Diceros bicornis minor: one gene and its partners. The protein of the gene in region 4 binds, or shares a complex with, the protein of the main gene of each other region. Links are inferred from orthologs where the notes say so. Each region holds a gene or a part of one and is shown on either strand. Other genes may lie near its edges. The genes, in order: GTF2E2, TAF1C, POLR1C and POLR2E.

What was found.
Region 1: POLR2E (region 4) and GTF2E2 share a complex: the UniProt entries of both Homo sapiens proteins name them as parts of the TBP-based Pol II pre-initiation complex. The link is inferred for Diceros bicornis minor from reciprocal best matches to the Homo sapiens genes POLR2E and GTF2E2.
Region 2: POLR2E (region 4) and TAF1C share a complex: the UniProt entries of both Homo sapiens proteins name them as parts of the pol I pre-initiation complex. The link is inferred for Diceros bicornis minor from reciprocal best matches to the Homo sapiens genes POLR2E and TAF1C.
Region 3: POLR2E (region 4) and POLR1C share a complex: the UniProt entries of both Homo sapiens proteins name them as parts of the pol I pre-initiation complex. The link is inferred for Diceros bicornis minor from reciprocal best matches to the Homo sapiens genes POLR2E and POLR1C.

What each region holds. Positions count from the first base shown.
Region 1 is NC_080768.1:28,325,893-28,333,736, forward strand, and holds the start of GTF2E2 (transcription initiation factor IIE subunit beta), read right to left. Parts: upstream 3,018-7,844; 5' UTR 2,846-3,017; intron 1-2,845. UniProt on the Homo sapiens protein: Recruits TFIIH to the initiation complex and stimulates the RNA polymerase II C-terminal domain kinase and DNA-dependent ATPase activities of TFIIH. Both TFIIH and TFIIE are required for promoter clearance by RNA polymerase.
Region 2 is NC_080771.1:33,271,680-33,279,335, reverse strand, and holds the start of TAF1C (TATA box-binding protein-associated factor RNA polymerase I subunit C), read left to right. Parts: upstream 1-4,642; 5' UTR 4,643-4,790; intron 4,791-7,150; 5' UTR 7,151-7,151; coding exon 7,152-7,289; intron 7,290-7,656. Other genes in the region: ADAD2 (adenosine deaminase domain-containing protein 2), read right to left, coding at 1-123. UniProt on the Homo sapiens protein: Component of the transcription factor SL1/TIF-IB complex, which is involved in the assembly of the PIC (pre-initiation complex) during RNA polymerase I-dependent transcription.
Region 3 is NC_080753.1:22,256,449-22,263,277, reverse strand, and holds the start of POLR1C (DNA-directed RNA polymerases I and III subunit RPAC1), read left to right. Parts: upstream 1-3,829; 5' UTR 3,830-3,852; coding exon 3,853-3,921; intron 3,922-4,044; coding exon 4,045-4,116; intron 4,117-4,403; exon of another isoform or gene 4,404-4,805; intron 4,806-5,552; coding exon 5,553-5,660; intron 5,661-5,914; coding exon 5,915-6,047; intron 6,048-6,336; coding exon 6,337-6,456; intron 6,457-6,546; coding exon 6,547-6,699; intron 6,700-6,829. Other genes in the region: protein YIPF3, read right to left, coding at 168-281, 476-607, 765-857, 995-1,040, 2,371-2,477, 2,671-2,868, 3,462-3,542. UniProt on the Homo sapiens protein: DNA-dependent RNA polymerase catalyzes the transcription of DNA into RNA using the four ribonucleoside triphosphates as substrates.
Region 4 is NW_026691553.1:615,387-623,195, reverse strand, and holds the start of POLR2E (DNA-directed RNA polymerases I, II, and III subunit RPABC1), read left to right. Parts: upstream 1-4,804; 5' UTR 4,805-4,855; coding exon 4,856-4,912; intron 4,913-6,686; coding exon 6,687-6,861; intron 6,862-7,809. UniProt on the Homo sapiens protein: DNA-dependent RNA polymerase catalyzes the transcription of DNA into RNA using the four ribonucleoside triphosphates as substrates.

The DNA of each region.
Region 1 (7,844 bases), on a different chromosome or scaffold from region 4:
GTTATACAGCACTTGTATTTATTCACTTACTCATTCACTCAAAAAATCTTTAATTAGAGCCTATTATGTGCCAAGCACTTTACTAGGCACTAGTAAAGAGAAACAGAATTATTCTCTAAAGCTCGAGAACTGCACTGCCCAACATGGCAGTCAATGGCCACATGTGCCTATTAAGCACCTGAAATGGGGCTGGATTTGAGATGTACTCTAAGTGTAAAATACATCAGATTTAAAAGACTTAGTACAAAAAAAAGAACTTTTAAAATTACTAATGAGATATTTTAGACTGATTACATGCTGACATGATAATATTCTGAATATACCGGGTTAAATAAAACATTAATTTCCCCTAATTTTCTTATACTTTTAAAAGATATACGGCTACTAGAAAATTTTAAATTACGTGTGTGGCTCACACTTGCAGCTCGCGTTATGTTTCTATTGGACAACGCTGCTCTAGAAATAACATCAGGACTACCAGGCAGAAATTAGGAGGCAGATTTATACTCATTGCAAAAAAAAAAAAAAAAAAGAGAGTACCATCATAATTGCTTATAAATGACAAGGTGTATTTTAAAACTAGTGAACTCTCTATTGTTAAGTGATGAAGAGGCTGGACTAATATTTGTTAGAAATATCTACAGAAAATTCCCGATTTGGAGAGAGGTGGAGCTAGACCTCTTCGAGTTTTTTTCCCAGTTCTAAAACTCCAATTCTAAGCAACTTCAGCACAACCAGGGAAGCCACAGGTAATTTAACAAAAATTTTTTAATGTTCCTCTCTTGTCTGAACTCTCTCTAGAACCCTGTGGAGAGTCCAGGAAGTGTACAAGCTGACTATTTAAATTACATTTGCACTGTTAAAACTAGTGTTCATAAATTGGGAAGGAAGGTCCTAGAGGAAAAAGACTAATACTTTGAAAGCCTTCCAGCACAGGGTAGTTCAATATTTGTTAAATGAACAATGAACACAAAAACATCTTTAAATTGCTCTGGCCTCATTGTTATTGGTTTCACAAGCCTTTACAAAATGTCTTCTGTTTGTGAGGCACTGTACTCCAAGCTTTGAAAGGTTCTGGAAAATAAACCCTTGTCTTCAAGCAGCTTACATTTGAGAACACGAACACATTGAGCACCTCGCTTAAAAAGCATGGATAAATAAAATGTGACTTAGAGTGCCAAAAGTTAAAAACATAAGCACTGGTAAGAAATAATCAGAGTAAACTTCAGTTAAGTAAGGAAGAGTCACTGGCACTGGACCTCGAATGAAAGACCTGCCTTCTCCCCTCAGTTCTAACCCCAACAGCAACTGACCAAAGGCAATCCACTAGACCTCTCTAAATCCAATTTTTTTTATAAGTAAAGTGAGGATACTACCAATGCTGTCTACATTTAGCCCAACTGTAAGACTAAAACGAGAAAATGTTTGTGAAAGCAACTTTTTAAATAGTAAAGCTATACAAATACATGTTATTTCAATATTACTATTTTGAATTGCATCTGAAAAATAACAGAATGATATTATACTGGGGTGCCGACAGTAAGAGATGGGGGAGGGAAAGTGTGAGAATAAGAGAATTCACAAGTGATGAGGTGGGGGCAACAAGCCTAAAACAGGAAACATCTGTATCTGTTTATTTCACCTTGTAAAGACAGGTAATCGATCCAGGCTTTTAATCACGATTTTAACACATTTAAATAAGAGGCTTATGGTTCACAAAGATCTAAATCCTTACAGCATTTGATCCTCACAACTCTACGAGATAATAGGTACTAGTTTTATTCCTATTTTAATATGTGAAATCTGAAGTGAAGAGGTAAAGTTAAGGTCACAGAGCTGGAAGTACCTGGACCAAGACCCGAATATCCTGACTCGTAACTCAAGTGCTCCATACTCCAGACCTGAAATGCTGGTAAAGGGAAAGGCCTCTCCAACAAAGGCGACCTGTGCAGGACAGGTACCGTTGAATGGCACCCATCGCAGAAGGCTTCATGTCTGTCTGTCACCACCGCATGCTCCGCCTAACTTTTCCTCCTTTTTTCTCAGAAGACTACTCAGTATTCGTAGTGCTTTACATGCACTGACTTGTGTAGTAAACAGGCCACACCACTCTGCCAATTTACATTAAAAAAATACCACCGCCACAACTCAATGAGTGCACGTGTTCCTCCACGGATGCACATGGAGAAGCCAAAACTTACATCAGAATCTTCTGGCTCCGAAGCCCACGTTCTTTCCACTACATCATTCGAGTTCTTTCAACCTTCCTACTTTTCCTCTCTTTTGCTTCTTTCCCAGAGGGGCCCGTGGCACCTAAGACCCCTGCTATGAGCAGCTGGCCAGATGAGAAAAGAGACTGCTCACCTCCGAAATGACAGAAATGTAGCGGTAGACGCAACCTTTTTGTTTTAGAACACGTCTTTAGACCGCAGAAAACAACTATTATAACCAAAGTTTAGGAATCATTACAAGGCAGCTTTAAAAATATAGTCCGTGAAGGAGCATCTAAATCACAGCCTTGAGTTGGTGGGACACCGTGGTTCCCCACACTCCACACACAGGGTTCGCTCGGCTCCTGCTAATGTAAACTGAGGGCCAGGAAGAGGCACAGTCAGCTATCGGACTGTCGATTTCCCTCTTTCCAACCCAAAAGTTTGCTCCATGAATCTCCAGCCTAAAAGACAATGCTCCCAAGAAGTTGTTGCCGTGTGTAGGTGTTTCGCGTAGGGCACGGCGGCCCCAGCCTCCCGAGGGGTGGGAGAGACGCTCGCCCCGCGGGGGTCGGCGTCCCGAGGAACAACAGGCCGGGGCTCCGCGCCCCTCACCCGGCCGCCACAGCCCCTACCTGAGCCAGAAGGGCCGCCCCACGCGCCCCGCCGCCGCCTCCCCGCGCCTCCGCCCGGACCAGCCGCCCACGCCGGCTTGGCCACCGCTTCCTGCTCCTCGTCAGCGCCCCCGCCTGCCCGCACGCACGCCCAGCGCTGCCCCGCCAGCTCGGGGTCTCGGCACTGGCAGCGGCGGCGGCGGTGGCTGAGGCGGCGACTCGGCCCGGGGCTCCGCCCGCCACTTCCTGAGCAAGCTGCTAGGAGCTCAGTCCCGGCAGCCACCGCGACGCCTCCGCCGCCGAGAGCGCGCGTGCGTCATCACGTGCCCCGCTAGGGATACCGCGGGAGAGGGCTCAGCCAGCTGGGGCGTCCCGGGTCTCCTTGACAACGCGAAGGTGGCTGGGGGCGGGGCGGAGAGCCGGGCAGAGGTAGGAGGCGAGGAGCGGCCGCTAAGATGGAAGAAATCTTTCTTTTACAGAAATTTAGACCTACTAGATCCTCCTCCAGCGTGCTCTGGAATCTGTTTACCCAAGTAGCGACGCGATTTTTCAAGTTATTGTCTACCAGGTGTTTTGTGACATCAAATGCCACTCACCAGCACCTAAATTTCAAAGCACGTTGTTCCAGCGCTCTTTTACAAGTGAGAAAGCAGGAGGCCCCGTGAAGCTAAATGACTTGCTCGTGACAGCGTAGCTAGCGAAGACAAATCCTGACGTGAAGCCGTTTCTGAACTCCCAACCACACATCTGTGAACTCTCTTAGAAAAAGCATTTCGGGTTCAGAAGCAACGTAAAGGGGTAGAAATAAAGTGACGAAAAAGATAATTGGCCTTGCCACAGCCTGCAGTGAATTGGAGTGCGTCAGATTTCCCACGGCTGACCTTTCCTCACTTTTATAACTTAAAACAGCAGCATAGCCAATGCTCAACTATTCTGTAGCTGTCGTTTAATTAATTAGTGCTGATTACTCCTCAAGTTACTTAACCTGTGTCTTGGTTTTCTCATCTGGGAAGTTGGAATAATTGTACTATCACAGTGGGTTACTTGAATTGGACTGTTGTGAAGATTAAATGAGATAATAGATGAATTTTTATTCAAAACTTGGAAATAAAGCCAAAAGATGATTGATTGTGTGGCTTTTTAAAGTTAGTTTCATTCTAGGATTTTGTAATAAACCCACTTGATAATCATCTGACACCGTTAGGAAATTTAACTTCTTTTGAATAACAGTTTATTAAGGCCCAAATGTTTTACAGCCCACTATAATCAGAGATTAACTGGTAAAAAAAAAAAACTGATGAGGTGTAATGAGGAGAAGGAGCAGGAGCAGGTATCCAGTACAAAAAATAATCCCAAAGGTTAAAATTGCGTTGTCCTGAGAAATGAGTCAGTGTTGTATCAATTCATTAATTTTTATTTCATAGTTCCTTTCCTCAATGATTATATAAACTCCAGTTTCTCATATCCTCATGGAATTAGTTCTATCATTCTGCTGGCTCCCTTATTAATGAGTGAGAGACTTAATATACAAATAGACAATGGCTAGATTATATGTGATGATAAAACTCTGACCCACATAAGAAACCAAGACACAACCTCTGCAGCAATCAGCTCAGAATGGTCAGGATTTGCTCAAAGGCTGCCAACTTCCCTATTTTAGCCCCCACCCCCCAACACATACACCCCCCCCACAAGATCACCAGAGAAAAACAAATACACTCCCCAAACCAATCACACAGATGCCCCACTTCTAGTTACTCCACCTCCAGCTTCCTCTGCCAACAACCTTTAATCAGAACGTACCAGAAGCATCCTTTTTTTTTAGTCTATAAAACTTCCCAGTTCCCTGATTGAGTTTGAGTTTCTGCCAAACACAAGTAATGGTGGCTGACTCCCTTGCTATAGCAAGCTCTGTAGTCTCTATTCTCATTTGAGTGGTCTTCATTTATTTCCATTTGTGTTAAATAAAACTTTAACACATGCTCATTTCCTAGTCACTTGAGAATTATGAGTTTCACAATTAGAGAATCAGGCTTTTGCAGAACTAGATCTACCACATGGAAAGCACTTAATGAACTGTTAAAAAAACAGAGGTACATTAAAATTTTGAATATCTTATTTGAGAAAACATCAGTTCAAATTGGGGAAGCCCAAAACCAAAAATGTTTAGGAGCTCTCCACTGACAGGAGCTAGGGGAGAGGTTTTTATAGAGAAGACTCCGAAGCAAATCAAAGAAAGTCTTTGATTGGCTGTAGCTTAAGTCATGGCCTTATTTGGGAAAGCCTAGTTGGCTGTTTGTAATTAGTTGTTCTTAAGTTTCGTTTCCTTCGCTTCTGGTCTATTGACTCTGGCATAGGTTTCAGTTTGTTTATGTAGGCTACCAAGGCACTAGAGCCATCTCAGTCTAATGGATTCATTGTTTACTTTTAAAGAATGCTCATAATTATTCTTTTATTTCAATGGCTTGTCTCATTTCAGCCAGTTGGGACAGATATTGAACACAGCTAAGCCTTCTAATGCCAATATTAGAATATGTTATTCATAATCCAAACCCCCATCTCAGTTGCCCATCCTTTACCCAAATCTTAGCTGTTATTACTATCATTGCCAAACTTGAAACCCTCCCATACACGTGCTAGCAAACCATTAAAGTATATAGACGTTGAATGTTGTCAACCACTGAAATCACTCCTGTTCACAGTGCCTATGGCCTGTGACTAAGTCCTAACACTAAAAGCAATGACTGCATTCATTCAAAACACTTTTGGGTGATAGCCTGTACTCTGAAGGTACTCCTCAACTGAAGACAAAAGTGGGCTCCGTATATCGCCATAATCAGGCCATTTTTGTGTCAGAGGTACTTACACATGGACACCACACTAATGAACTAAAAAAGGATTCTCTTTGTCTGCTGACAATGTTGACTACGACAATGACCAACTTGACCATTTCCAAATGTCAGCCCAAATTAGCTTGATTTCAGAGAATTCAAGATTGGGGTTAAACATATGGATTTTTATTCTGCCTTCTCATCCTTGTTACACAATAAAGACATCATCTGGGGGTCGGCCCGTGGCGCAAGCGGTTAAGTGTGCGCGCTCCACTGGGATGGCCTGGGGTTCACCGGTTCGGATCCCAGGTGCGCACAGACGCACCGCTTGACAAGCCATGCTGTGGCGGCGTCCCATGTAAAGTGGAGGAAGATGGGCACGGATGTTAGCCCAGGGCCAGTCTTCCTCAGCAAAAAGAGGAGAATTGGCAGATGTTAGCTCAGGGCCAATCTTCCTCACAAAAAAAAAAAAAGACATCATCTGGATTGCGTCTGAGGCAGCCTCTAGCTAGGGCTTAGGGAAAGCATAGGAAAAATATCCCACTCGGAGGTGAGGGACATGGCTATTTGTGTAATATACACAAAGTCTCCACCATTGATGCTTAAATAAACCTTTATAATAATTAAAACCACCTACATATTTGCAGCCTCAGTATTTCTAGGTCAGAAGGGTGTGGCTAGCATGAAATTATATAAAGAATGATTCAAGCTACTAATGCAATAGCAATCTGTCTTGTCGCATGAATGCTTATAATATCCTGCATACTCTTTGGTAGAAAGTAATGTGGCTTCTTCAGGGAAATATAATTTGTATATATTATAAAATATTCTTCTGTCCTGACCTATCCAAACCCTCCCACCTCAAAAAAAACAACTCAATGTAACCACAGGATTAATTCCAATTTAGTGGATTAATTTTTTTTACTGTTTTAATTGTGGTAAAATATATATAACATAAAATTTGCCATTTCAACCATTTTAAAGTGTACTACTCAGTGGCATTAATTACATTCACAATGTTGTACAATCATCACTATCTATTTCCAAAATTTTCATCACCCAAAACAGAAACTCTGCACCAATTAAGCAACAACTCTGCATTCCCACCTCCTCCCCCCAGCCCCTGGTAACTTCTAATCTTCTTTCTATCTCTAGGAATTTGCCTTAATTCTAGATATTTTATATAAGTAGAATAATACAATATTTGTCTTTTTGTGTCAGGCTTATTTCACTTGACATGATGTTTTCAAAGTTCATCCATGTTGAAGCATGTATCAGAACTTCCTTCTTTTTTACGTAGTGGCTTAATTTTACATTTTAATTTTTTACATTATGTAGTAGTTTTAAAGAGGAAAATTGAGGTAAGATAAAAAAATTTACTTCATTCTGCCATCAAATAGTAAGTGCCTTTCAACTCGCCTTACCTGTTAATCCATCTCAACTAACTAAATAGGTACCTAAATCTCAAAATAGCTGACGAGGCAAATTAGCTCACATCCGCACAAATCAAGAACTAAAGTAAGTACTTTGTTCATCATCTGTCCTGGATTTCTCTAGCATTAACAGTCTCTGCTCCCTTAGAGACTTTTCCCCTGCCTTCTGACTCAGCCTGCCTAATCCTGAAAATATCTTCCCAGGACCCTGCTTCCTTCTCAAGCATTCATCCCGTAAGGGAGGAAAAAAATATTTTTTGCCTCTACTCGTTTTAGGTTCTCAGGCTGGGGCCCTATAATTAAACTAGCAAAAGACAGATTATCAAGAGAAAAACAAGCAGAAGTTTATTAACATATGCATCACACACACACACACACACACACACACACACCGGAGTATCTAGTGATGAGTAACTCAAAGGGCTGATGAGAACTTGGGCTTATATAACATATTGACAAAAGAACGATAAATTTATAGAGAAGTGACAAGACTTTGAGTGAAAAGGACTTTGAGTTTCTAGGATGGTAAATTGTGCAAAGGCAACTATATGAAGAAACTAATGGAAGATAAGGGCTGGGTAGTAAAGTTTGTCATGTAGATTCCTCTGGTACCATCTTCGGGCTGATAAGGGTCTCAAGTTGTCTCCAGTGATTAACTTTTATCCTTCCTGGTAAAGAGAAGAGGGCAGACACCTTTACAAATTTATGTCCTACTTTCAGGCAAACGGGGAGGATGGAAAGCTTTTCTTGTATCTG
Region 2 (7,656 bases), on a different chromosome or scaffold from region 4:
GCCCAGGCTGGCTGGGGGCCGCCTGGGGCTGGGCCCGGGGCTGATCTGTAAAGACGCTGCCAGGCGGGGCTTCCTGCGGCCGCTGTCGTCCGAGCCCGGGGCCGCACTCGCCGCTGAAGCCATGACAAGACGCGAGGACCCCCAAGGGACAAGAGGCAGGTTCTCACGCCACCCCTGCTCTTTTATACGCCCTGCTGGGTCCGCGTGAGGAGCACGCGGCGCAGCCGACAGCACCCGGCGAGCTCCGCCCCACTTCACTGCTGACCAATGAGAGCCCACAGAGCTGTGGCGGACAGTGCGCCCAGCCAATGGGAAGGACAGTCTGCCGAACAGCAGCAGCCCGGATGTAGACGGTATGGCCGCCTGGCCAACAGCCCACTGCCGGGTCGGGGGGTTGGGCGAAGGACCAGGTCGCTCCTGTCAGCCTCTTATCTGCCCTAGCGAACGGAAGGCCAGGGAAGGAGGTTTGCGGGCCCGGGTCCAGCACCTCACCCTTGCTCCCGTTCTAGGCCACCCCAAACCGCACCCCATCACGCCAGCCCACCCCTAGCCGCTTGAGCCTGGGGGTCCTCATTAGGTAAATGAGAGTGTTCTCAAATGTAGCGGCCCCACAGAATCTCTAGGCTCTACATTTGAAAACTGTTCACTGTAGCCTTCCTGAAGCCAACCGGAAGTGCTCTCGAGCCAAGTTAGCCATTTGGCACTCTGCCCCCCTTTTTTCCTGTCAGGAGGGATTTTGAGTAACTACCACAAGACAGCTATTCTTTAAGATGAGAGACTAGGGATGAAGGAGAAATAACAAAAATAAGATGAAGTTACGGATGAAGACAGTTTACATATGGCCTGCTATGATGCAACACAATTGCTGGAAGGGGGCAGAAAATGTAACTGCGTCTTGTAGGAGCCAGTTCCCCGGGAAAACATGACCGATACTCAGTTCACAGTCTGTAAGACTCGTCACCTTTGTTGCTGCTGCTGCTGCTGATTGCTACCTTTGGGTCTGACAATGCTGACCAGGATTGTGGCAGTGTGGATACTGGAGTGTTTGAGGACGGGTTGGTGGAACTGGGGACATTTGATTTGGGAAGAGCAGGTGTGGGGGACAGAGTAGATTCAATCTCCCGAATGTTTCAGAATTGACATCAGAAAGAACAAGCCTGTTCTTTTCATGTGTAGCCCAGCCAGAGAGCAAAATTAGGCCTAGTAGATGGAACACAGTTGGTGTTCAGAAATGGAATGATGGCTGCACACATCCATAAAGAGACTTTAACAGAGTCCACAAACCCAGAAACTTCACCAACAGGAACTTGCATGAACAAGAGGTGATATATTCGTACAGGAGACTATTAGTAATAAAAAGAAACAAAATACTGTTACATGCACAAAATGAGTGAATCTCATAGGCATATTGAGTGAAAGAAGCCAGACTAAAAAGACTATTTTCTGCCTGATTCTATTTATATAAAGTCTTGAACCGGCAAAATTAATCTCTGGTGATGAGTCAGAATCATGGTTGCTTTCTGAAGGGGGTATTGACTGGGAAGCGGCACCAGGAAATTTTCTGGAGTGATGAAAATGTTCTCTGCCTTGATCTAGGTGGTGGTTATGTGGGTTTATATGTATGTAAAAACTTGATAAGGTGTACACTTAAGACTTCTGCATTTTACTGCATGTTAAGTATACATCAGTAACGAAAGGAAACCAAACAGCTTGTTTAGAGAAAGGAAGGAAGAAATGAAATTGGCCTCCCAGCCCAGAAGCTGGATGGGTGTCTCCTGGGGTGATGGGGAATAGTGGTGTGGTGGGAAAAATAATGGTCCCCCAAAGATATCCATGTCCTGATCCCCACAGCCTATGAATATGTTACATCATGTGGCAAGGGGGTATTATGGTTGCAGATGGAGTTAAGTTTTCTAATCAGCTGAGTTTAAGACAGGGAGATTATCCTGGATCACCTGGGTGGGCCCAGTGTAATCACAAGTGTCCTTAAATGGGCTAGAGGGAGACTGAAGATCAGAATCCGAGAGATGACAGCATGAGAAAGACTCAGCTGGCCATTGCTGGCTTTGAAGATGGAAGGGGGCCACAAGCTGAGGAAGGCAGGCAGCTTTTAGAAGCTGGAAAAGGCAAAGAAATGGATTTTCCCCTAGTGCCTCCAGAACGGAACACAGCCCTAGTGACGCCTTGATTTTAGCCCAGTGAGACCCATTTAAGGCTTCTGACCTCCAGAACTGTATGATATTGTGTTCTTTTAAGCCACTAAGTTTGTGGTAATTTGTTATAGCAGCAATAGGAAACTAATATAAATGGTCTTCAATTTCTTTTGCATACATACTTCTAAAATAATTTTGAAAAATTATATATCACTAATTTTTTAGTCACAAGCTTAAATAGTTACAAAAGATGTAATTTCTGATTTATTATATAGTATAATCATACTTTCAATATATTTTCACCAAAACCATGGAGAGGCGGACTTAGCTTATTCCATTTATGAAAAATGCTCTCCAGGGGCTGGCCCTGTGGCCTAGCGGTTACGTGCGCGCACTCCGCTGCTGGAGTCCCGGGTTCGGATCCCGGGCTCGCACTGATGCACCACTTGTCAGGCCATGCTGTGGCGGCATCCCATATAACGTGGAGGAGGATGGGCATGGATGTTAGCCCAGGGCCAGTCTTCCTCAGCAAAAAAAAAAAAAAAGAAGAAGAAGAGGATTGGCATGGATGTTACTCAGGGCTGATCTTTCTTACAAAAAAAAAAAACAAGAAAAGAAAAACGCTCTCCATGTGCCCTAATTGGCAAAGCCTACCATCGTAGTCAAACCTATCAGCTAAACCAGAATTTTCCTATCAGAAACAGTCTGACTTCATTTTTTCAATTTAAATAAATGTGTTGATATTTTCTCAGAGGAACCATGTCATTTTGTTCCCTCTTCCATTGATTCGATATTTATCGAGTATCTACTTTTCTAGTTGTTTGGGATACATTAGTGACCTACACAGAGAGAAGAATTCCTGCCTTCATAGAGTGACTTCTGAATTCTATTTCTGAGGTAGATAGCTGAAAAGGCATGGAGTCTAACCAAGAGGCTGAAGTCTCAATGAGATCAAGTGTCACAACCAGCAGTATTTTCCTCTTTTTTTCTTTTCTGTTTTAAAAAGACTACTGAAATATTACATCCATACCAAAAAGCATACAGATCATTCAATGAATTTTCACACACTGAACACACTCGTGTAACCAGCACTCAGATGAAGAAACATAATATTGTCAGCCCCCAAAAGCCCCGCCCCCCGCACCCTTCTATCATTACTCCTTACTGAGCCTGTTTTTCTTGGTCTTATAGGGACTCTCTCCTATAGGAACTCTGCTTTTTGGAATCGCCCCTTTGTTCAGCATCCTTCTCAGGCAATACTCCATAGTGGGGAAAAAAGTGATTGTGAAAAAGGAGATGCGAAAGGAGAACCATCTGATTCCGAGCACCTCCCAGATAAAAACCATATACATAGAAGCTGAGAACTTGGAAATTGATTCTTTAAAGTAATGGTTCTCAAAGTGTGGTCTCTGGACCCCCAGCATCAGCATCACCTGGGGACTCATTAGAAATGCAGATTCTTGGATCACATCCCAGATCTACTGAATCAGCAGCTCTGGAGGTGGGGCCCAGTGAACTGTTTTAACAAGCCCTCTAGGGGATTCTGATGCACGCTGAAGTCTAGAACTGCTGGGTTAGGATAACGGTATGATTTATGATTGCACAGTTGTTCTTAAAGTGTGACCCCTCCAGACAAGCAGAATCAGCATCACCTGGGAACTTAGGAAGGCAAATTATCAGGCCCCACCCCAGACTCACTGAATGGGAAACTCTGTGTTTTCTTTTTTTTGAGGAAGATCAGCCCTGAGTTAACATCCATGCCAAGCCTCCTCTTTTTGCTGAGGAAGACCAGCTCTGAGCTAACATCTATTGCCAATCCTCCTCCTTTTTTTTCCCCCAAAGCCCCAGCAGATAGTTGTATGTGATAGTTGCACATCCTTCTAGTTGCTGTATGTGGGATGTGGCCTCAGCGTGGCCGGACAAATGGTGCGTAGGTGCGCACCCAGGATCCGAATCCAGGCCACCAGTAGCAGAGTGCACGCACGCAACCGCTAAGCCACAGGGCGGGCTCCAGAAACTCTGTGTTTTTACACGCCCTCCAGGTGATGCTGATGCCCGCTGGAATTTCAGAACCAATGCCTAAAGCTATACTCGCCTGGCCACTGGGAAAACTTCATGCGCTCCCAGGGGTACCTGTACATCTATTTGTAAAGCCCGCTTCATAGGCTATAATGACAATCAATAGGATTCCTACTGACTCATACAGTGCCTGGCTCATCATACGTGCTCAGTAAGTGTTTGTTGAGTGAATTAATTTAATACTCACAGCAATCCTGTGAAATAGGAACTTAGTTAAGCAGAGGTGGGATTCGAATCCCGGTCAACCTATCCTTCACTTTTGGGACTTGACGAGGCTTGATTTCTACTGCCCGCGACGCAGCCTCCATTCCCATTCCCCCTCCGCCCGGGAGGTGGCGCTCTAGGGCGACCATGGGGCCAGGCTGGGAGGCGGGACTTCCTGTCTTCGAGGGAGCACTTCCGGCCCGGCCGGGAAGACTGTTCATCGCTGCTGTGGGGGCCGCCTTCTGAGGGCGCCGGGGCTAGGGGGCCGCTCTCGGGCTTCTTCGCGGCACGGGGGTCCGGCGAGCGGCGCGCGGAGGTCCATTTCCCAGACGAGCACGGCGAGGCCCGGGCCACGTAAGTGCGCGCGCCGTCGGACGGGAGGGAGTGGAGGGTCCCCCTGCTCAGGTCCATGGGCCCCGAGCTGCGTGGCTTTGGGACAAGTCGCCCAACATCTGCAAAGCGGCTTATTAGCAGCCCCCAGCTCATGGAGTGATGAGGAGCCTACAGATGTGAAGCGTGGTAGCCGCTGCCTGGCACACAAAGCTTGATGCGAGGCCTCTGCTGTTGCCGGGTTGAAATTCTGGGGCCTGGGGTTGGAGTGGGAGGAGGTGGATGGGGAGGACGCGGCCCAGTAGTTGTGTGAGGGGAGGGAACACCCGGATCCCCTCTCCCAACCCTTGCGACAGGCTCGCTTTTTGTCATGCCCAGCCTGGCATTAGTGCAGACCCGACTGACTTCTGCAGCCTTGGAGGTGTAAAGGGGCCTGGCGAGCCGAGGGCGAAGGCGGGAAACGGAGGCTGCCTTGTCTAAGGGCCTTTCTGAGGTCGTGGGCTCGCCCAGCGCCCTCAGCCTGCCTGGGTTTGTTTGAGGCTGTTTGGTTCCTTTCTTCTCTCATTCATTCATTCCCGGATTTGCTTTTTCAGTTTATATGTACTGATTGTTACCATGTAGCGAATACCAAGGTCCTGGGGGTATATAAAGTCTCTTTCCCGTGGGGACTGTTAGAGCGGTTTTGAATCAAACAGTTGCATCTTTAAATATGTAATGACACATTGCAGTGCGTGCTCTGGAGGAAGCATGCAGGCTGTGGTGGGAGGATAGGGTTGGGGGAACGGGGAGAGGCTTCCCTGACTTGAAATCTGAAGGATGAGTAGGATTTTGAGGTGGTAGGAAGGGCGCTCGCATTCCTTGTAGGTGGAGAGAGAGTGTGCAAAGGCCCTGTGGTGAAAAGAAGTATGGTGAGGAGGAATCCAAAGGAGGTCAGTGTGATTGGAGCCCAGGCACAACAGACGAGCTGGAGACGTACGTGTGTGTGCGCGCGCACGCGCGCGTGTGCGCGTGTGTGCATCTCTGACTTATCAGGGGTGCGGCCACCTTGGGAGGCTGGGGTGCCCCTTAACTGCAGTCGGTACAGCCAGTCCTGTGGAAGCCGGCGTTTTCACAAGGATTCATTGATCACCACCTTGGTTCCTGGCACTGTCCTCTTCTGTCGTGGAGAAGGGAATAGCAGCAGCAGCCAGACACCAGGAGCTCAGGAATGAAGCAGATACAGTGGCTGCCCGCGGAGAGCTCTCAGTGTAGTGGAGAAGATAAGACTGTGCATGTGAACCACAATTAGAATGAGGCTGACATGCCGTGAGAAACACGTATTCATCATTTAACAAGTATTGACTGTGTGATGGGGGCACTTTGCGTGATGGTGAGGGTACACGGATGTGTGGAGGTTACAGAATAAGCTGATAGGATGCCGCAGGAGCGCCAAAGGAAAGCATTTCTGCTTACTAAGGCTCTAAAGCTCGGGTTTGCTTTTGGATGCACGGGAGAGCGGTGGTTCAGACCTCGGACTTGGAATCAGAATCCAGCCGTTGGCCTTGGGCAGGCTGCTCTCTCCTGAGCCTCAGTCTCCTGGACTCCAAAGGAGAATAAAGCATGTGGTACCATGGCTGCAGATGCTGGTGCTCAGTAAGTGAGCACCACTGTCATTTTTGTGGTTAATAAAAAAGAGGGATGCTATGGCTGCTTATGCTTCTAGAGCACTTTGTATTTACCAAAGCCCTTTGGGCTAAATTTAGTTTTATTCAATACAGTCAGTGCATTTTTGGAAGGTATGTACTTGACAGTGGGAAGACAGACAAATAAGACTCAGTCCCTGGCTTTGGGGGAACTAGAGTTAGTCTTGGGAGTGTAGCCTGGGACGTAGGGCCTGTAGTCTTCAAATGTGTAATTATAATATGTAGAGCTTATTGGAAGCTGACCCCTCGCCACCTGTCTAACTTCATCCCCTACCCCTCTGCTCCTGTTCATTCTGTGGCCTCCTGGTGCTTTCTCAAGCACTTCCTGCCCCAGGACTTTTACACTTGTTGTTCATTCTGCCAGGAACCCTATTTCCATGGTCTTCATGGTTCTGTCCCTCATTAGGTTCAGGCTGTGCCAAACCTGCCCCTCTTGATGAGGCCTTCCCTGGCTACCATTGCTAAAACCACACCCTCAGCACATTGCCATTCCCTCCCTCCCGGTTGGTTGATTGGTTTTAATATAGCACTTATTACTATCTGGCATTAGGTTGTATATTCATTTGTTCTTTATTATCTGCTTCCCCAAAGAGAAAGTATACCCCTCTTACGACACTTTTCACTCTCCCAGGAACCCTCAAAGCCACTGTCAGATGCAGGTCTCTGAGAAGACCAGTGTGACGCATGGCTCTTGTTTTCTAGGATGGACTTCCCCGGCTCCCTCCGCCCCACGTTGTTTAGGACCGGCCTCCTTGGTCTGAGCAATGTCCCTGACATGTCCTTCATGTGCAGCTGGAGAGACGCACTGACCCTGCCAGAGTCCCTGCCCCAGAACTCTGAGGTGAGGATGGTGGGGAGAGCCCTGGCGGCTCCAGGGTGGGCACCTTCACTTGGTCCCCTTTTCTAGCAGGAGCACAGAGTGGGGTGGCTTTAGCATAAGTCTGCTAAGACTCAGCCAGAATCCCCTTCTTTGGGGTACGTGGGGCGCCCTACCATCCGCAGAGGGTTTAGTGAGCGGGAGCTGTTGGCTTGCTCTTTCCTACCTCCCCCTCCCCCGGCCTTTCATTCCTCTGTTTGTTCAGTGAATACTCATTGCACAGCCCTGTGCTGTGTCAGGCACCTTCCTAGGCCGGGGGCACCCAGCGTGAATAAGTCAGATGTGACCCCTGCCCCCGTGGAACTGAGAGTTAAGTTGAGTGAGAACAGAC
Region 3 (6,829 bases), on a different chromosome or scaffold from region 4:
CTCCGAAGTGAGCAGTGTGGAGATGACACTCCTCCCTGGAGCAGAACCATCTTTGGGCTCCTCCCTCCCATTGAGAGCCCTTTGTGGGGTTCTGCCCGAGCTCTGGGCTGTTTAACCCAACTCCCTGAGAGGACAGCCCACCTCTGGACACCTCTTGCCCAGCTTACCATGCGCAGGGTGGACAGCCCCCCCACCAGCAGCCAGAAGAGGTAGAAGAGGGCGTGGAGGTGGATGTTATAGGTGATGAACAGGACGATGCAGTGCCCAAAGAGGCCGTAGCCCTAGGAAGGAGGATGGTGGAGAGGAAAATCACTCAGGTTGGGCTGGCCTAGACCCTCATGGGGACCCTGACAAAGAAGTGGTCCACTGGCCAGCTCACCCCACTCCATGCCCTGGGGCCCCAAGACAGATGCAGACCAAGGCCTAGCTACTCTTTTAAGATCACCCTTGCCCACCACCATGCGGGACTCCTTACCAGCAGTGCCAGCATCTGCAGCATGGTGATCTGGGCATTGCACAGGTAGGCGAGGAAGTAAATGAAGGACGAGACACCCAGCCAGTAGCCGAAGCAGGTGCCAATGGCTGTGCCCATCAGGGTGCCCTCCCGCTGTGGGATGAATGCTCTACTTAGTCCTGGGAGGCCTCTGGTCTCAGCCTCCCCCAGGGCCTTCCTCAGAGGCTGCTGCTACCTCACTCCACCATCGTCTCCTTGGGCAGCTTTCAACTCAGTTCAGCCACCCCCCAAAGTCCTCTGTCCTGCTTACGATAATGGTGTCAGATGTCTTCATCCCGTGGAGGAGGATGGCAACCAGCGTGAAGACCAGCATGAGAGGTCCATAGAGCTCACCTGCGATTTTCTGTCAATATACCAACTCACTCAGGCTGGAGAGTACAATGGCCCTTCTGTTGATGCCTTCCCATGCTTTGCCTGGTGGCCCCACCCTCTGCCCTAGTGCCTCCCCGGGCTCTTCCAGACATGCTACCCCCTATTCACCTGGGGGAAGTTGACCATCTTGATAGGGATCATGGACTCCAGGAGCCTGGGAGAGGAGAGGAGAGATGAGAGCAGAGGCAGCACTAGGCTATGAGGTTCTGGAGGGCCTGAATCTTATTCATCTCTCTAACTCCAGAGAACATGCTGGATGGTAAAGGGAGAAGAGAACAGTAAAGATGGACAAGGAATGAGGGAATCACTTCCTTGCCCCTAAAAATGCTTCCAGGAAGGACAACCCTCCGATGCCGTGCTGACTGATGCAACAGCAAAATGGAGAACTCAGCCCAGCTGGGCCTCAGGAGAAGGCATGATCATTTACCTATTTGACCTGCTCCCCTTTAAAAGACAGGCAAACCCCAGGGGAGAATGCCCAGAATTCAGGGCTGTGAAGGTGAAGCCCTGGGAGAGGTTTACAAGGAAAGGTTTTACTTGAGGGAGCCAGTGTGCCTCCTGCCTCTTCCCGCTTACCATTTCTCCAGGCACTGCTGAGCATGTTCTTTAAAATATAGCTAAGTGGTAAAAACGTCCAGGCAAAAGGAAGAAAAAGTACAAGTCACTCCCTCACCCTCTTCTTAAGCGGGTAGCTCCTAATAATACCTTGGATTCTGGCTAGATTTTACTTCCTTTGGCAAACCTGCCTTGTCCCACCCTCCAGCCTACTCTGGGTCCAGGTGATCCTCCCGTGTGCCCCATCATAGCACATGAGTGCTGTATTGTAACTGCACTTGAGGGCAAGGCTCTCATCCATCTTTACCACTGAATCAGACATAACTACTAAAGTGCCGGGCACAGAGCAAGTGCTTCATAAAGCCTTGCGGAGTGGTACTGGGTATTTGATAAGCATTGGTTACATTAATGGGTAAACAAAGAACCAAGCCAAGATTAAATCCAGTTCTTGAAAAGTCATTCAACAACTATGCACTGATGTTCTGGTTCAGAGACTGTTGTGGTGCTGGGAATAAAAAAATAAAACAGAGCCTGCTTTTGAGGTGGAATCTGGGGACACAGACACAGGAATAAGAAAGTACAGCTTGGCTGAAATTTTATCTGCTAGAGGAAAGCAGAAAGATCTATAGGACCACTAGGAGAGGACAAAAAGGATGGGGATGAGGAATGGAGAACAAAGGAAGTGACATCTGAGCTAGGTTTTGAGGGAAGATGAGTAGTTTGCTAGATGGAGAAGAGGAAAAAGGCAATGCGTTATCCCCATGTCCTGTTCTATGACGGGTAAGAGGTATGGTGTGGCTGGGCACAGGTGCAATGATGAGGCCTGCGGGGGTCATGAAGAGGGGAGCTTAAGACTTGGTATCTGGTTGTGGTTTGGATGAAGGACTAGGTGTTAAGAGGGCAGCTTCTGTCAGGAGAAGAATCCTCACCTGCTTCGCACCTGGGCAGGCTCCACATCAAAGTAGGGTCTCAGGATGTCGATGTTGGCGTACAAGCTGAAGGCCCTGGAGGCTTGTCTCTTTCCTGCCTGCCACATCTGAAGTAAGGAAGACGGGGGTGGGGTGGGTGGGTATTGTGAGACTCTTGGCTCTAGGCCTTGTAGCTTATTTTCTGTTGGATTTCTACATGGTTCTAACTGGACAATCTGGGGTGAACTTCAACACCAACTCCAGAACCTGGGGCCTGCTTAGGTATACTTTTCCACCTGCCAGGGATCCACTCTTGCTTACCTGATCAGCCACCTGCCTGCTCAGCTGTCCCTTAAAGCCCTTCATGCCCAGGAACTCCCCATCCTCTTCTTCAGCAGCAGCTGCATCAGCATCTACTTCTTCCTCGCGCAGGCGCTGATGCAGCTCACCCATGTCCTCGAAGCTGGAACCTGAGGTATCATCCATGTTCTCCATGTCAATCACAGCCGAGCCCCCACCCTGTGAAGACAATGGCTCCTAGAGTGCAGGACCTTTCTGCTCCATCCATTAAGTCCTCCTCTGTTCATCCCAGGGTTTGGGGCCTTGTTCTGTCACTGCTGGGGATATGGCTTGGAATCACCACAGATCATGCCACTATCTTCCCCTGTTTTGCTCTCAGAACGCTTGGTTGGTTGGCTCTCTTCTTGCCTGGGAAACCTACTCCCTGTCTTCCATACCTGTCTTTGTCCTATCTTCCCTATCAAAGCCTCAAAGGGCTCCAAAAGTGTCCATTTCCTTTGTCTTTCCCAACCCCTAAACGAGGCTGCGTACACAGTATGGTTTTAGCCAGCGCCAGTGGACCCCGACCGACCTCCTAATTGTTCCGAAAGAGCGGGCGAGCCCAGAGATCTGAGGCCCTCCGGCTGGAGTACCAGTCTGGACCTTTCAGGTCAGCACTAGCCCCACTGCCTTTCGTGTGCACGAAGACCCAAAGGAGAGCAAAAGGGCTGCAAATGGAGCAGACGTCCAGGCTCCGAGGGAGGGTCCCCACGACACTTCAGGACGGCTGCCGGCCCTGGGGCTGCTAGCAGTCGGAGCCTTGGGGCCATTACCTGGATGTTTTCTTCGAACCCTCCCCATTCTGGGCCAGCCCCGTTTCGGGCGCCCCCGGCCGGCGCCGCCGTAGTTGCCATGGCCCTCGAGAGCCCCCGTCGCTGAAGCCCGCGCTGGCACCGAGCGCGGAGTAGTGGGAGAGACGTGGGACTGACGGAGGGAGATGTCCAGGGACGAGAGAGAGAGAGGTGGGACCCACCGGAACGCAAAAGAGACGAACCCGGATGTTTGGCCAAGACTGACTGCCGGAAGTTGGGGACGTGGACGGAGGCGGGGCAGAATCTCGCGATATTTAAGATTCCAGGAGGTGGTGCGTTGCCACGGAGACGGAGGAGGGCGACTAGAACGCACGCGTCAGTTTGCTGCTCTAGTCACGTGCAGAGGTTGAAGATGGCGGCGGCGCAGGCGGTGGAAGAAATGCGGAGCCGCGTGGTTCTAGGGGAGTTCGGGGTTCGCAATGTAAGCCTTGTGCCCTTGACCTCGGGAGGAGAAATGAGAGCGAGACAGGGATGAGTTTGGATCGATGTGGGGACAGACTTGGGCTCGCTGCCCCTTCGCAGCAGACTCGTCTCTTTGCCCTAGGTTCATACCACCGACTTTCCCGGTAACTATTCCGGCTATGATGATGCCTGGGACCAGGACCGCTTCGAGAAGGTGGGTGGGGCCGGAGAGGGTATGAGGAACGGACCGTGTGATGTGAGCAGCCCCTCCCTTACAAGGTGCCCTTGGGGGTTCGCTCCGTTCATGAAACGTTTATTGAGCAGTGTGCTAGGCACTCCGTGTGCACGGTTTCTGCCCTCTTTTGCGAACAAGAAGTTCAGTCTTGTTGGAAAAGAGCGCGCGTAAACAAATGATTCCAGTATGATGTGGTAAAAGCGGTGAATAGCAGTAAGGAAGACTGCGGGTGGGGTGAGGGGTATCCCACAGAGGCACTTAATCTAGAATGGGAAAGGGGGCAGAGGTATGAATGATTTCCTTCCTGAAGGAGATGACATCTGAATTGAGCTTTAAACGGTGAGTGGAAGCTGACGACAGCGAAGGGTGAGGAAGGACTAAGAACAGAAGCTGAATTATAAAGGCCTTTGTGAGCTGTGCTCCGGGTATGTCCAAGCAGTTAATTATTGCTAGAATGTAAAGCGGGCCGGCGTGCATAGGAATAAGGAGCTTTTGAAGAGCTCTTAAGTAGAGCTGATAAGATTTGCAACTTTAATGGTTGGGAGAGAATGAATCTGAGGATCATCATATGGGGCAGGCAGATTTGTGATAGAATTGTATAGGGAGCTGAGGTTGAAGGCATGAACTAAGATTATCATCACGGAAATAGAGCAAAGGAGAGAGAGAAGGTGAGTTTGGTGATTGCTTTGATATGGGCCGTGAGGGGGAGCGTGAGATGATCTAGCTCGGGGAACTGCTTTGATGGATGGTGGTGTCCTTTACTGATGAGAAATGGGTCTGGGGGAGGGGAATGATGATGCGTTCCGTTTCCTGCATGTGGAGAAGTCTAGAAGGCTAGTAGAATATATGTTTGAAATAAGATCAGAAGTGAGATATAATGTGAGGAGTTGTTAGTACAGATAGTTGCTAAAACCATGAGTGTGGTCAGGTCACTCTGGAGAGAGACAAAAACCTGGGAAATAGTAACATTTATGGGGTGGGTGGAAGATAGTGAATTTAGGATTCATCAGAAAAAGAAGGAAGAGAACCAGAAGACTGGTGCTCAGAAATCAAGGCAGTAGTTTGAAAAGAGGGAGATTCTAGCAACAATGCCAAATGCAGCAGAGGAGTCTAGTAAGATAAGGGTTAAGTAGTGTCACATGGAAGCCTGTTCTTTAGTAGAATAGCCTCCGTGGATGGACTGGCTGGAAGCCATATGGCAGAGGGTTTTAAATGAATGAAAGGTAAAAACAGGAAGACTTTTCAAGAAACTAATAAAGGATTGGAGGAGAAAGGAACATCTAATGAGGGACATCTGGGCCAAGGGAGGTTTTTGGATGAGAGAGAATGTTAAAACGTTGAGAGGAAGATCCAGAGGGTAGGTACCTTGTTCTATAGAGAACAGACTTCATTTAGTGCTTTTCCTGTCCTTTTAGAATTTCCGTGTGGATGTGGTACACATGGATGAAAACTCATTGGAGTTTGACATGGTGGGAATCGACGCAGCCATAGCCAATGCTTTTCGACGCATTCTGTTAGCCGAGGTATTGGTGGGCATGGTGGCAAGGGTGGACTTGTGAGGGGAAACGGTGCCATGGCCTCGCTTGGAGAATTATCTCAAGCCACCCCTCCTCTTTATTTTTCCTGTAATATTGCTGAGCATTTCTCCTCATTCTTTGAAAACTTTTTATCAAGCATTCTTCTAGGAAGAGGTCTCTCCCATCTCCCTATGTCAGGAGGCAGGGAGTAGATGGGGAGTCTATAAGATCTTTGTAGATGATTCTTATTTCTTGGGCAGGTGCCAACCATGGCTGTGGAAAAGGTCCTGGTGTACAACAACACGTCCATTGTCCAGGATGAGATCCTCGCTCATCGCTTGGGGCTCATTCCCATTCATGCTGATCCCCGTCTTTTTGAATATCGGAACCAAGGTGAGTGTTTGAGAAAGTGAAATTTTGGGAAAAGGCAAGCAGTTTGCCTGTGAAGTAGATTCTGGAATCAGACTGCCTGTGTTCAAATCCTGGATTGACTACTGCATGACCTTGGGCAAGTTACTCATTTTTTGGTACATCAGTTGTTACCTGTGAGAACACTTGCCCTTGCCTTCCTCAGTTTGTCAAGAGGATTAAATGAGAAATGTAAACAACGCACTCAGTATGGTGTCTAGCACTCAAACGTTGACTAGTTCTTTAAGAGCTGCCACCTCCCCCCTTTCTGCAGGAGATGAAGAAGGCACAGAGATAGATACTCTGCAGTTTCGGCTGCAAGTCAGGTGTACTCGGAACCCCCATGCTGCTAAAGATTCCTCTGACCCCAATGAACTCTATGTAAACCACAAAGGTGAGGAGTGGTAGGGTGAGGGAGAAGGCCCACCTGTTGGTGGGTGCTAGTTTTAGGGACTGAGGTCTTCTGATGTGCTTCTCCCCGCAGTGTACACCAGGCACATGACATGGGTGCCCCTGGGAAACCAGGCTGACCTCTTCCCGGAGGGCACTATCCGACCAGTGCATGATGATATCCTCATTGCTCAGCTGCGGCCTGGCCAGGAGATTGACTTGCTCATGCACTGTGTCAAAGGCATTGGTAAGAACTGTATGGGCTGCCCTGGGCAGGAGGGCAGTTCAGTTACAGTGGGGCCACGTGTGACTGAGGTACTCTGCTGAGGTGTCCCTGACAGGCAGAAAGCCAGTGGGCCTTTGCTGTTAGTGGCTTA
Region 4 (7,809 bases):
CCCAGCCCCCGCCCAGGACCCGCGGGGCCCCCGGCCCGCGCGCGCCCCCGCCCCGATGGCCCCCCACGGCTTCCCCGCCGGACGCCCCCCGCCCCGGTCACCGCGGCCGCGCGCCCGCCCCAACGGCCCTCGGGCCGGCCGCGGCGCCGAGCTCACCATGGCGCCGGCCAGGCCGGGCGCCGCCAGGACCCCGCACAGCAGCGCCGGCTTCAGCAGGCGGCTCAGGCGGCTCAGGCTCATCGCGGCGGCGGCGGGGGCGCTCGGACGCAGCGGCTCCTCCCCTCGCCGAGCCGGCCAATGGACGCGCGCCGGCGCGCCTCGCCTCCCCGCCCTCAGCCACGCCCACCAGCGCCCTCATTGGTCGGCCGCTCCTGCGCTGCGGGCACGTGGTGGCGCCAGCCAATGGGAACTCGGGGTGAGGGGCGGTCGGGGGCGGGGCCGGGGCGGGGCTGCGGCTTTGTTGCTGTGGGAGACTGCGCATGCTCGCCGCAGGGCAGGAGGGCGGGCGGCCGCGTCTACGCAGGCGGCGTGTGGGTGCGTAGCGGCCAGTTATCCGGGTGGCTGACCGCGGCGCCGCGGGATGCGCGACAACTTGAGATACCACTGGACACCGGGGGTGGAAGTGGCTCGAACTCGCAGAACAATCGCCCCAGCTCATTGAAAACTGCGGGTTTTCTTTTTAATGTAAATAAAATCACACTGGGAGTGGGGACGCCCGCCCCTCGGAGCTGCAGTGTCGCTGCGGGGGTGCCCCGCGAGGCCCGGGGGTCACCCCGGCGAGACCCCGGACGGAGGCTCCTGCCGCAGTGTCCACCCTTGGTGCGCAGCGGCCGGTGCGGCACCGTCCCGGGCACCGTGGCTTCAGCTGCTGCGCCAGGTGACAGGTGCGCCCTGGGGTCATTGAAACCGTCACCGTGTAACCGGGCACCTCGGGGCCCCGCCCCGGGGAGGTGGCACGAGGCACGCACAGGTGTGTGCTTACAACGAAACATACCCACGGGATTTCTTTCCATGTCTAAGCTTACGTAGCACAGGTGCGCACAGGGCCGCGTAGGGCCCCACGTTTCGGCTAGAAACTTGCTTATTTTCAGTCCAGGCTCAGAGCAGGGCAGAAAAAAAAGGGCCACCTCATTCCTGGGAACTGAGTCATGGGATCCGAAGCAGGCCGGGCCACCCCCGCCCCTCCGAGCCGTGACTGGACGTTGACCTGTGGACAGGCCCGCGGTTTCTGCTTCTGCGCTGCCTGTCCACGTTTCCCGTTCTCCCACGAACACTTCTGCAGAGGCCTTGGGGGCAGGACTCTCCTCGGGCTGGGGTCATTTGGGGGAGCCAATGAGCCCCCTCCCTCTGCCCTGGAGCCAGGCCTGCCAGAGGGCAGGGCAGGCACAGGATCCAGGATCCCCAGGGCTGGGTTGCTTCAATCCCCATCTTGCACAATAGTCTTCATGTGGCTCCTTCCCTCCAGCCTGGCCACCAGAGGCCAAGTTCTCAGGGTCGCCTCTTGGCAGGGAGCCCGCCCATTGTCTCAGCTGGGCCGCCTCCCTTCTCAGGGAGCCCCCCCTGCATTTCCTGCCCCTGGCAGCACTGGCCAGTCCATCTGGCCCTTGGGAAGACTCAGCTGTCTGCTGTTTGCTCCACTTGTGACCTACACCTTTATTATGAAGATGGCCACGGTCAGGGTTATATATTTCAGGCTTGCCAGAAAAACAGCTGCGGGGGAGGGGGAGTGATGGACCAAGCGTGGCACCCCATTCCTGACTGTGCCAGTTACGATAAGAGCAGAGGAGGAGAGGAGGAGCCCGCGGGGCGGGGCCGCGGGTCTCGGGTCAGGGAAGCGCCCCCGGCTCTGCTGAGCGTGTGTGCCTGGGGCTTCACAGCCTTTCCCACAGCGACCTCTTGCAAAGATAGGGAAATGGAGTTTTGGGGCCAGTTCCTGTGTGTCCCCAGTGAGGAAGCTGAGGTGCCCACCAGCCAGAGGCCTTTCCAGAGTGTCCACCAGCTCCAAGAAGGGCTGGTCTGGGCCTGTCCTGTAGCCTGGCTTCTGTAGAAAAAAATTTTTTTTAATGGAGACAAAATCCACATAAAATTCATCATTTTAAACGCTTTGAAGTGTACATTTTAGTGGTTTTTAATATATTTATGTTGTGCAACCATCACCACTAATTCCAGAATATTCTTATCACCTCAAAAGAAACCCTGTCCCCATCAACAGTTACCCCCCCATCCTCCCTGGCCCCTGACAACCATGAACCCACTCTCTGTCTGTGGGTGCGCCTGTTCTGGACATTTCACATCAGTGGAATCACACACCGTGTGTCCTTCCGTGTCTGGTTCTCTCACTGAGCGTCGTGTGTTCAAGGTCCATCCACGGTGTGGCTGTGTCAGGGCCTCACTCCTCTTCATGGCTGCGTCATATTCCAGTGTGTGGGTGGAGCATATTTTGGTATTTTGTTTCTTCATTCACCTGTCGATGGCCACTTGGGTTGTTTCCTCCTTTAGGCTTGTAACGCTGTACAAGTTTTTGTGTGGGCATGTTTTCATTTCTCCGGGGAATGCACCTGGGAGCAGAATTGCTGGGTCACAGGGCAACTCTGTGTTTAACTGTTTGAGGAGCTGCCAGACTGCTTTCCGCCAGTCAGCTGGGCCATTTTACCTTCCCACCCACGAGTGTGTGGATGGTAGCCTGATTTCTGGGCCTCAGGCTCCACCAGGGCCGCATGGTGAGGGGTGCGAAGGAGCAGGATGCCACTCTGTGTCCTGGTGCTGAGGCCACAGGGTCACTGGCAGGACTCAGAATCATTGGCCTTGTGGTTGGGCTCTGCCAGCATCTGGGGGTCCCGAGGCCCAGCTGCTCCCCATGAGCCCTTTCTCCTCTGTCTTCCCTGCTCTGAGGAACAGCAAGACTACCTAACGTCCACACATCCAGCCCACAGCTGCCCGCACCTGGGCCCTCCGCCTGTCACCGTCCAGGCCGCCCCCTCCTTGAAGGCCCAGCCTCGATGGCCCTGTCGAGGCTCCAGCGGGTCTGCCCCCTCCCCCTGCCCAGATCTGCCCATCATTCCAGCAACCTCAGTGCCCTTTCTCCGTCTTAAAACCCAGTCCTGATCCTCTTCTCCGTCTTCCGCCCCTCTGCTCCCCTGGGCATCTACATCCACATCTCCAATTCCTTTGCTCCTGTAACCCCCCCGGGCAGGCCCCCTCCTTGGATCTGCCCTCCTCATGGTCACCAACTTGGCACTCCCGCTTGGCACAAGCGTCCCCATCCTCAGGCCTGCTCGACTTGGAAGTGGGTGCTCTGCTCGTCCAGGTTCTACAATGCAGTGGGGGAGGGAGATACCCTCTGCCGCCGCGGTTTCCTTCCCTCCGCCCCTCCTGGCCCCTGAACTTCAGTGAGGCTCGGCCATCTGCTCTGCTTGGTGACCTCCTCCAGGCTCCGGGCTCCCATCTCCACCGACCTCACCCTGAATTCCAGACTCATATCTCACCCCCTCCCCACCTTCTCCCATGGGGGTCCCACGAGAGCCCCAAGTTCACCACCTCCAGGACCCCCTCCCACACTGCCCCCTGCACCTGGCCCCTCCAGAGTCTTCCCACCCCGTCAGGGCAGCTCCCTCCTCCCTCCCTCTCTCATCTCCACGTCCCGCCCATCTGCACGTCCTGTAGGCATTGCTGTCAGAACACCCAGAACCTGCCCACTGCTCACCCCACCCTAGCGGGAGCCACCCCCATCCCTGGCCAGGACTCGCTCCTCAGCCCCCTCCCTGCTCTCCCTGCCTCTGCCCTGCTGAAACGCTGAGAATGGCTGAAAAGAAAACCCAACTTTTGAACCTGACCAACAAGGCCTCCTGGGACCTGCCTGGCCTCACCCTCTGACCTCCTCTCCTACCCCTGCCCCGCATTGGCCTCTTTGCTGCCAACTCATCAGGCAAGGTCCAGCCTCAGGGCCTTTGCACCGGCTGTAACCTCACCTGACACACCTTCCTCCAGACATCCCCAGGGCTCCCTCCCTCTCCTCCTGTGATCTGGACTCTCCTCCTCCCCTCCCCTGACCATCCCTCTGCAGACTGCAAACCTCCCAGCTCCCGTAGCCTGCTCTCTCTCTTCTTCTGCAGCATTGTCACCTTCTAACATACTTTGTCACTTATTTATTATGAGACAGGCACAGTCAGGAGTAGGGCACTGTGGGATATCTGAGACCCGGGGCTTGGGGACAGGACAGGGGAAGACCGAGATGGGAGCACTTCATAAGCACCAGGAGCTATGCCAAGCTCCTCCCAAACACAACCATCCCTTCCGATTCTCTGCTAACCCTCTACAATGGGCACTTTATTATTTCCATTGTACAGACGGGAAAACTGAGGCTAGGGGGCGTTAAGTTGCACGTGGGCCAGAGCCAACTGAGAGACGGCCCTACAGTTGGATGCATAAATATTTATAGAGCTCTTCCTAGGCCGCCCGACTGTCCCTAGGAGGCAAGCAGACCCCTGCCCCCCTGCAGGCCTCAGTTTCCCCGCGCACACCTCGTTTCTGCCTGTTGAGATTCTAAACCGCCGCCCCAAGCGGGCGTCGAACGGAAACTACAACTCCCGAGAGGCTTTGCGGTCAGAGCTACGCGAGAACTTCCGAGGTGCTGGTGGGAGGAGCCCTGCGCACGCCTCTCGCGCAGCCAACGGCCGCTCGCGGAAGGCTCGGGCTGCCCTTGGCGCTGCCGGTCCCGAAGGTCGCTGTAGTGAGGCGTCCGCTGGCGACAGCCCTGCACGGGGCGGATGAGGGGGCCCTGACCGGGGCTCGGCGCAGGCGCAGTGGGCGCGGGTCCCGTCAAGCGCACGCGCAGTGAGTGCGAGCGGCGGCGGCCATGGACGACGAGGAGGAGACGTACCGGCTGTGGAAGATCCGCAAGACCATCATGCAGGTGAGCGGCGCGTGCGGCGCCCCGCTTGGCGGACGCGGGGAGGGCGGGCCTCGCTGGTCCGGGCGAGCCGGGCGCGCGGCGGTCCGGGGGGCGGGCGGCGAGCGCACGGCCCGGAGCGGGGACGAGCCTCCCCCACGCCCGCCCGAGCGGCTGGAGCCGAGGGGTCGGCAGGCGGGGCCCCCGAGGCTGCAGCGGGCGGGGTCTGTGGGGACGAAGGGACTCCGGGGGCAGGGGCCTGCGGGGGCCGGGGGACCCCACAGGGGCCAGCAGCCGAGTCGAGAGTCCGAGCGGCCCCGGGGGCGGGGTCTGCGGGGATGGGGGGACCCCATAGCGGCCAGCGGCCCGGTGGCCGGGGTCTGCGGGGACTGGATGACCCCACACGGGCCAGCGGCCGAGTCGAGAGTCCGAACGGCCCCGGGGGCGGGGTCTGCGGGAATGGGGGGACCCCATAGCGGCCAGCGGCCCGGTGGCCGGGGTCTGCGGGGACTGGATGACCCCACACGGGCCAGCGGCCGAGTCGAGAGTCCGAGCGGCCCCGGGGGCGGGGTCTGCGGGGATGGGGGGACCCCATAGCGGCCAGCGGCCCGGTGGCCGGGGTCTGCGGGGACTGGATGACCCCACACGGGCCAGCGGCCGAGTCGAGAGTCCGAGCGGCCCCGGGGGCGGGGTCTGCGGGGATGGGGGGACCCCATAGCGGCCAGCGGCCCGGTGGCCGGGGTCTGCGGGGACGGGACGACCCCACAGGGGCCAGCGGCCGAGTCGAGAGTCCGAGCGGCCCCGGGGGCGCGGTCTGCGGAGACTTTTGCTGTCTCTCCGGGCCGAGATCTCCCTCGAGTTGGAGAGGGGGAACGGCAGACACTGGGTGTCCCGCTTATTGATGTTTTTGGAAGGCGGAGCACCACCCCGCGTGCCTAGCTCAGAATGCCAGAATCGTGGGCTGGGAAGATACTCTGGTCAGCTGGCCTGAGGTGCCGTCCTGCGAGGATGTCCGTCTCTGATCTCTCGGTTTGGTGGCTGCTTTTGCGCCTCGGCCACCAACTTGGACTTCCTGGGGCTGGTCGGAGTGGAGTGACACTAGCCAGCTGGTTGAGCAGTCACTGTTTGTCACTTGCTTTAAGCCGTCCTGTGGGAAGGGACCAGTGTGACCCTCAGAGGCCCGGTGGGGCATGGCCTTGACCAAGACCGCCCAGCTTCTCTACTGCTTTGCAAAGTGACCCCAGAGACAGGGGCTGAAACAACTGTGCTTCAGGCTGACAGCGTTGGGGACCCTGAGAGAGCAGACATGAGGGCTCAGGAGGCAGAATCGGGCTGTGGGGACTTCACGGAGGAGATGGGGTGGGAAGCTCTGACTTTCCTGTTATCCATCTTTGTCCTCTTCTAGTTGACCCCAGTCAAAGAGCCCACACGCTCAGGCCTTCACCCAGTTTCTGAGCTGGAGTTGCCTGGCCAGCCCAGCAACGCCCCTCTCACCCAGCTGTCTCCATCTGCCCCAGACCCCAGGGCCCAACTCTGCCGCTGCTTCCCACTCAGGGCCTCTCCCCGAGGCTGGGGATAAGACGATGACGCACACGATTACCTGGAGCAGCTCGGGGCTCTCAAGTGCCCCGTGGTCTTTGTCTCCACTCGTCCCTTCTCCCTTTTCTGGCCTCTACGCACACCCACTGCACCAGGCCCCACACTGCCCACGGCGCCCTCTGCAGCGGCCTCGTCCGGCCCCACCTCTTTCTGTTATGCCTTCTCTGCCCTGGGGTCACTTGACTCTTTCTGTCTGCAGCTGTGCCACGACCGTGGCTACCTGGTGACCCAGGACGAGCTGGACCAGACGCTGGAGGAGTTCAAGGCCCAGTTCGGGGACAAGCCGAGTGAAGGGCGGCCGCGGCGCACGGACCTCACCGTGCTGGTGGCCCACAATGACGACCCCACCGACCAGATGTTCGTCTTCTTCCCAGGTGAGGGCTTTGCCGGTCCCTGGCAGCCGTGTGTCCGCGAGGGGTCATGGTTCTGGTGGAGCCATCTGAGGGCCTGCTGTGTGGCCCAGAGTCCACACTGGGCCTTGTCTTTCTGGGAAGAAAATCCCCCTCGCCCTCCTTATTGGGAGGGTGGTGCCGTTGATCTCTGAACCCTCTCAGTGCCTTGTCTAGCTTCGGTCTCCTTGGTCCCCTTCCTTGTTCTCTTCTCCTTGGCTGTTTTCTCTGCCCAGGATTATCACAGGCCTTTAGCTGGGCCCCCGGCCCCTCCTGACCTCAGATCCACCCGTGTCCTCTGCCCCCACCCCGTCAGCCCCGCCTGCTGCTCCCTGAGGCTCCTTCCTGCCCTTGTCCCTGCCGATCCCCCTCACCACACCGTTCCTCTTCGCCCTGCCTGGTCGGTGTCCATCATCGTCCCTAGAGACCCAGCTCAGGTGCCGTCTCCTCCAGGACCCTCTCTGAGCCCGGGCTGAGTGAAGAGCCCCCCGAGGGGTGTCCCAGGACCCCCGCGTTCCTGTCTCTGCGCCTGCTGCACTCAGGCAGCCTGGCTCTGAAGCCTGCCAGAGTTGGGCCACGCTGGGGCGTGAGCACCTTGGGGGCGCTGGAGTCAAGGGAGTGGGCAGAAAATGTTTGCAGAACAGACCCAGGTGGCGCTAAGAACGGTGTCCCCCGTGTGGAGACGTGTTTACTGGGGACAGTGAGGCCTGATCACCCGCCTCCCCAGACCCTGCCTGGGGGCCGGGCTGCCCTGGAGTTGGGGGTCTCTCTCTACTTCCTGGTCTTTGGTGACGTTGGGGGCGTCCTGCTTCTCTCGGACGTGCCTCGGGGCAGAGTTGAGGCTCCCACCTGTGTTGCTTAGCTGGGGCCGCGCCAACGAAACACTGCGGGCTGGGACTTAGCAGACGTGTGTTCTCTCCCAGGGCTGGAGGC